Linked DNA regions of Rattus norvegicus. The protein of the gene in region 2 purifies or fractionates together with the protein of the main gene of each other region. This does not show direct contact. Links are inferred from orthologs where the notes say so. Each region holds a gene or a part of one and is shown on either strand. Other genes may lie near its edges.

Region 1 (3,653 bases), on a different chromosome or scaffold from region 2:
ACCTATGTCAGACAGCTCCCAATTGCCTGTAACTCCAGTTCCAGAGGATCTGACACCCTCATACATACATGCACGCAGGCAAAACACCAATGCCCATGACATAAAAGTCAATAACAAAATTAAGGTTAAGAAACATGCTTTAATAACTCATATGCCAAGTTGAAAGTCATCTTAGAAAATAGGCAATCTTTAAGATAGACCTGGAATGGGCAGTCTCCCTTCTCAACCTTCACTACCACCCTTTCTCCTCCTGGAATAGCCAGGGATACATGGCAAGACCTTGTCTCACTCCATGTCTCCTCCCAAATAAGTTAGATTCATCAGTATGTATTTTCCATTTCAAACCATCCTTTTTTTTTTCTTTTGCCTTTTATTTTGAACATCACAGGAGAAAAGAGGAAAATGAACAACTCTCATGCTCCAGAGGAGGCCAAGCGATCTCGAGTGATGGGGGATATTCCTGTGGAACTGATCAGTGAAGTTATGTCTACCATCACAGACCCTGCAGGGATGCTTGGACCAGAGGTCAGCAGCTGGGAGGGCCTTCTGGTCGCCCTGCCGTAAGAGCTGTCAGAGCTGAGGGTGGGGTACTGAGAACACACTGCTGGTCACCTGTAACCTGGAGATCGATCACTGTAGGGAGGGCAGGAATGGCTAACTAAGATGTGGTTCCCTTCGATGAATATCAGTTATGGGGCCACAAACTACAGTTTCAAGTAGTTGGAAACTTTTCCACATTGGAGAATTTCAAGCCTCCCTCAGCAATGAAAAAAAAAAAAAAGTAACCAAACAACAACAACAACTACAACAAAAACCCAAGAATCAAAACCAAAAACAAAAGCCCCCCCCCCCCCCCCAAAAAAAACACCCAAACCCCACAGAGTGTGTTGAGCCTGCAGATTTATCAGGGGTCACCTCCCATTTCCCTTTCTTTACCTCCTTTCTCCTCTCCTGTGAACCCTTTAGAATCATTTCACAGCTCCAAACAGATGTAATAATACCTCATACCTCGTGCATTTGCTTGTGTCTTGTACTAAAGCAATTCTCTTAGATAATCACCTGAGCTAGCACTCAGGGAATTTAACTTCATTATAAGGTTCTCTGGCTTAGGGTTGGCAGACTGCAGCCTACCAGTCATAGCTGCTATTCAACTTATGGGCTCAAGTAATTCTGTGTCAGCTTCTAACTGGCTGGGAGGAAAGGTGTGTCCCAGCAGATTGGGCTTGTAATAGCTCTTATGGCATGTGTGTCTTGCAAAACAAAATGTTTATCTCTTGACTTCACTGGAAAGTTTGCTGACTTGTGGCCTAATTTTCAACCCCTGTGTCTAATGACCATCTTACCAATTCATGCTATTCATAACATGCATTATTGTTGGAGACCCAGTTAAGAACCAAGTATGGCATTCAGTTTTCATTTCTTCATCTTTTTATCTTCTTTCTCTGGTCCTTTCTTTGTTTCTTTGTTTCCTTCCTTCCGTCCTTCCTTCCCTCCCTTTCTTCCCTCCCTTTCTTTTTCTTTCTTTCTTTCTTCTTCTTCTTTTTTTTTTTTTTTTTTTTTTTGGCTGGTCTCATGTGGTCGAGGCTGATCTTGGACTCACTGTATAGCCAGGATTAATGACCTTGAACCACACTGCTAGGTTCATGAGGTGCCGGGGATCACATCCAGGGATTGCCACATCCCAGCAAGCATCTGACCTGTGAGCCATATCCCAGGCTCCTTAGTCTCCTTTAACTCAAAGCCTTTCCTCTTCTCTTACAATGTTGCCTTTGTTGAGGGGCCTCGTTAGCGAGTTATTCATAATGTCTCTGTCTGGATCTGTGTGACAGTTTAGATCAATCCAGGTAAAATATCTTAGTTAAAAGTATTGCTCTTGTCTCATTGCAAGACATCCAGGAACAGGGAGGCTTAAGACATTTCCAGGAAATGAAGACATAGCCTGAGTACTAGTGTATACACAGCGTCTGTCTTTTGGGTGTGGCTCTGATAGATTAAATTAGTAAGTTTCATACTGCGCTGTCTTCGTGGCTCTTTTATTAGTGCCAAGGATAATTTGGAGAATTGATTGTTGCAACAGAACCATCTCATAAAGTTCTTTCCTTCCAGTCTGTGGGGGGCAAATGCTGACCTCCTCCTGTGTGTAGGCTTTAGGGATTTCATAGCTTCACACATGAGCAGAGCATGGCCTGCTCAGAGGAAAGTGGGGAGGCAGTCACCCATTTCACAATCCTTGTTGCAGTTAGTAGAGTACTAGTATGCCCAAGAAAGCCACTAACGATGTAGACATTTTTGTAAGCTAGTTGTTAAATGCCTTGGATGCTTGAAATGCCTACCACAGTGGTTGATACCCAGTAACCTGGACGACCAGCCAAAGCCCTCAAAGATAGTGCTATAGTTAGGACTTTTCTGCCCAGCACAGCTGTTTGCCAAAGACTTCCTCGCCCAGCATAAGGTGAATTAAAGCATGAGGTGCTGGCTCTAGGCCATGCAGCCTGCTGTGAGTTAAGTCTGGATCAATAGATACTTCTAGAAAGAAAAGTATCTTCCAAAAAAGAGGTGCTGAGAATATAAAAATGACTGCTTTTTTTTTTTTCCGGAGCTGGGGACCGAACCCAGGGCCTTACGCTTGCTAGGCAAGCGCTCTACCACTGAGCTAAATCCCCAGCCCCAAATGACTGCTGTTTTATGGTGCGTTTCAAGAGTTTAGAACCTGTTGTCTTAATGATATTTAATTAATTATTATTATTTTTTATTTTCATTGCTTTTATGTTGTTATTATGTTGTGTGAGTGAGTCACTCTTGTATAGAGGCTAGGGGACAACTTTCAGTAGTCAGTTCTCTCCTTTAGTTGTGGATTCTGGGCCTCAAACTGAAGTCATCAGTTTTGTGCAGTGAACACCTTCGCCTGATACTCCATCGTATTGGTTCTCTCCTTAAAATGAACACCGACTTACTTAATGTGCCTGTGTGTATGTGTGTTCATGCACCTGTGGAGACACCATGCCATGGTGTGAATACGGAGCTTAGAGAGGCCAGTATGAAGGGATGGTCTTTGTCCAGGCATTGAACTTAGGTTGTCAGGTTTCGTGTCATGCACCCTTACCTGCTAAGCCACTGATCTCCCAATTCAGAATTTTTACATGTATTTTTGTTTACTTATGACATATGTCTGAGTATATGCCATATATGTGTGGCTGCCCACAGAAGTCAGAAAGGGGCATTGGCTGGCTGGAGCTGTAGGCACTTGTGAGCCTCCCAGTATGGGTGCTTGAAAACAAGCTTGGGTCCCTGTAGGACAGCAGGCATTGTGAACTGCTGAGCCTTTTCTCCAGCTCTTCTACCCTCCTTAAAGTTGGAAAATCATGCCAAGTGTTCTATACTAGTGTGGCTATGTCTGCTTGTATGCTACAACAGCAGCTGAGTTGTTGAGAGAGACCATGTCATTAAAAATAGCTAAAATATTTTATTTTATTGTTTACATTATGTGCATATGTGTCTCTCTGTGTGGGATTATGTATATGTGCAAATGCAGGTGCCCAAAGAGGCCAGGAAAGGATGTCAGATACTCTGGCCTGGAGTTACAGGCAGTTGTGAGCTCCCAGTGTGTTTTCTGTAGGACCCACACTCGGGTCCTCTCGAAGAGCAGTGCATAT
Region 2 (3,653 bases):
CCTCAATAATTTCATAACTGATAATTAGATTTTTATTTGTAATTACTGTCATCTATCCCTATGTGTGAATAATCTTTAGTTTTAAATTTTTAATTGGTTAAATTTGAAAACAATAAGAGTGATTGAGAAGACATCAGGGTAATGACTTATTTTAGGCATGTGTTTGTGTGATACGTAACAAAGAGAATACTTTCTGGAAGGCAGTAGTTGATCTCCGTCTGTTGAATGCCTAGGATTCTGATTAGGGCAGACCTATTTTTGGATACCTTCCAAAGGTATTTAAGATATCAAAGTATCAAAAGAGGCTATGGCTTCTCAAAGATGGCCCTATTATACAGACGTAGAAACCAAATTAAAATAATAAGACATGTTTTTATCTTTTTTATTTTCAAAGCTGTGCCTTTTAGCTTTTTAAAATAGCAACTACAGAAAGCATTTTATTATGTCATTGAAACTTAGTAACTTGAGCAAAATAGGCATGCATTACTCTATAGAAATCTTATTTTTGTGATAATCCCAGATATATAGCTTAATCGTGTAATTTTTGTGATGTTGCTACTTTGCCTCTTTGAAGCTTAACCTCAGAGATGATGTGGTGAAAATTACAATCGATTGGAACAGGCTCCAGAGCCTCTCAACATCCCAGCCTGCACTGCTCCTTACTGCACTTGAACAACACGTTTTGTATTTACAGGTAAATTTCATATTAGAATGTTTACTGGATATTCAAAATAGAAATTAACTGTAGTTTAATTAGCTGGAGTATTTTTCAGTTCTACCTCAACATTCTGTTAACAATAACTGTTATTAGTAAAAGGTTGCAGAAATCCATATTGAGTCTAGGTCTGTTAATTTCACTAGTGATTGGGATAGTTATGAGAATATAGCCCAACAGACCGATGTGGGTTTGAGAGTGAATAAATGCAATTCTATTCAATTCTGGGCTTTGCTGAAAATTCAATACAGTTCATCTATGGTGGGTTATAATTAAGCAATAAGACGCGGCAGGTGTGAGTCATGCTATGATAATGATTCCATGCCTTGGGTGAGTTGGGAGGCTCATGGAGTGCTTTCAGTGGTTCAAGAAGTGGCATTATCCCAGCATGACACATCCTGGAGTGTCTATTGCAATTAAACAGTTTCAGCGTAGTTTTTAAAAAGAAAGTAATTTCTGTGACATTAATGTTTCATCTTAGTGAGTAGCCAGTCACTATTTCATCTTAATAATTTGAAATAATTTATCCTTTATTGGAAGTCAATATTGAATTATTTATCATGGTATTGTTACACTTTTAATATTTCAGCTTGAGAAACGAACAGTATTATAGCCTTGCTGCTGTTGTTGAACATCTCTGCAAGTGTAATTGATGTGAGTTAGAGCTTTTCTCTCATCAGGACAAGCAGAACTGTTTTTCCTGGTCACTTTACTGTGTCGAAGATGTTAGAAGATTTCAAAAGAGTACTTGGCATAGCAAACAATAGAAACAAAATTGTATGAAAAGATGATCAGGATATTGTTTAGAAATAATGTGTTAATTTTCAGCCCTGAATTCATTGACTTTCTGGGAACATTTAACTGTGTTTCATGATAAAAATAACAGTTAACAATTTGTCTAAAGGGCAGGTGATGAGCTATAGAACTCAAATGTGGACCATGTCAGGGTGGGGATGACGAGGAACAGTGGAAGTGAATTTCTATTATGAAGACATATTTTCCTTAAACCTACTGTAGTTGGAGTGATTTGTTTCCAGCTCTTTCTTCCTTTCTTTCTTCCTTTCTTTCCTTCCTTCTTCACTTCATGTGCATTTGCTCTTGTGAAGTTTCATTTCCTGACCCAATAAGATCCTTGCTATGTCAGAGAAGGCTGAGTGTTCACTCAGGGTAACACCTGGTATACTTCATATCCGTGCCCTCATTCATCGTGGCCCACTGTACTTTGAAGTGGAGAATCTCAGCGATGCAGTGATAATGCAGGGCTTTGCTGAGTGAGCACTGCTCTCCTGCTAAGGACGGAGAACACTCAAGCTAGTGTTCTGAATGACATGTTAATTAAGAGGCATCCAGGCCAGAGACTGAGGCTTTGATTTAGCACAAAATAAAAGATGAATGACAGAATGATTTCCTCAAAGAAAAATTTAAATGTCCTCAGGTTTTCTTTCTTGTCTTCTTTTTAAAAAATAATGTACAGCAAGCGATAAGGGCTATACAGTAGTAGAAAATAGCAAACCTGTGTGTGGTCAGACCTGCGGCGTGTCCTGTGTGCCACCAGCTTTTCATATTTAATAACTGGTAATACTCATTTATGTAGCAGCAGCTTATACAAACCTATCACTAGTTGAGATGAGTTTGAACCTGAGCAGATGTCACTGTGTTCTTTTCAGCCTTTTTTAGCAAAACTTCAGTCTTTAATTAAAGAGAATTCAACAGCTGCAGAACTAAGACAAACAGAAGCAGAGACCAAGAGTGAACTAAGAGCCAAACTTCCCACTGGGGACCTACAAGATGAAGGAAAGCTCAAAGACGATGATTTAGGGGATGTGAAAAAGACACAAATCCATTTTGATCCAGAAGTAGTTCAAATAAAGGCTGGAAAAGCGGAAGTAAGTTTGGGCTGGTACAAGGATCAGGGTAATATTACTTTTAAAAGTTCTGTTATGTTTAGATTGTTAAATTATTTGTTGTTTATAGATTGACAGACGAATATCTGCATTTATTGAGAGAAAACAAGCTGAAATCAATGAAAACAACGTCAGGGAATTTTGCAATGTTATTGATTGTAATCAAGGTAACTAGAAGTTTTTTTAAATAGAATTTTAAACATTTTGACAACTGATGTAATATTTTGTTTTAAAAATGCATAACAAAAACAAGATTCAGTCTTACAGGTTTTTAGTTGGTAATTAAGGCAGTAGAATTTTCCTTTATTTAGTGACGGGCCCTGTTGCCAAGCTGATTTTCATTTTGGTTACACAAAACATCAAGTGAAGGCCGAACTCTAGAGACAGATATTTACCACAAGTCCGAGAAGATCAAAGTTTCTTTAGAGAATGAAGGTGAAATGTTGGATGACAGAGTTGTTTAGATTTGCTGTTAGGAGAAGACAAAGGATTATGAACTTGAGGTCTGTAAATGTACCTGTGAAATTATGTTAATTCAGTGAGCCTAGTAGCAGTAATAGCATTCCTCAGGAGGGAGCAGTTTTCTCTTTACTCCTGAGTTTCATGATGCACCCAGCTTGTCACGAAGACCTGTGGAGCCCTAGGCCTTTCCCTTTTTCACATCGCATACCTTTGCTGTTTCTCCTCAGTCTCCTTGTCCTCTTCACTTGATGCTACAGTGTTTCCAGGTCTGCAGTATACCTACAGAATACCATATACTGTGTAGATTGCCATAGATCATAATCAGTTATCCTTGTAAAAAATTATGGAGAAAGGTTTGTAATTGGGCTGAACGTCTTATTGCCATTAATATCTCTTAGTGATTATAAACATAAAATTGCCCATTGAACCTGGAAGTGACTCAGAATCACATTGATATGTGATGCTCTTAACATAATAATGTGGGCTCACTGCAGATGCTAAGTTAAACTCTTCTACTGTTAACTTGTGTGGATCTCTAGACTTAGCTCTTTATAGCAGGTGTAGCAGTGGCA

Evidence for each region. The genes of interacting proteins can lie anywhere in the genome.
Region 1: the proteins of Mbip (region 2) and Kat2b purify together in Homo sapiens (affinity purification with mass spectrometry; 4 studies listed by BioGRID and IntAct, counting the BioPlex papers as one, with this or other methods). This does not show direct contact. The link is inferred for Rattus norvegicus from reciprocal best matches to the Homo sapiens genes MBIP and KAT2B.

What each region holds. Positions count from the first base shown.
Region 1 is NC_086027.1:6,879,014-6,882,666, forward strand, and holds part of Kat2b (histone acetyltransferase KAT2B), read left to right. Parts: intron 1-388; coding exon 389-525; intron 526-3,653. UniProt on the Homo sapiens protein: Functions as a histone acetyltransferase (HAT) to promote transcriptional activation. Has significant histone acetyltransferase activity with core histones (H3 and H4), and also with nucleosome core particles.
Region 2 is NC_086024.1:79,553,887-79,557,539, reverse strand, and holds part of Mbip (MAP3K12-binding inhibitory protein 1), read left to right. Parts: intron 1-574; coding exon 575-694; intron 695-2,382; coding exon 2,383-2,601; intron 2,602-2,689; coding exon 2,690-2,786; intron 2,787-3,653. UniProt on the Homo sapiens protein: Inhibits the MAP3K12 activity to induce the activation of the JNK/SAPK pathway. Component of the ATAC complex, a complex with histone acetyltransferase activity on histones H3 and H4.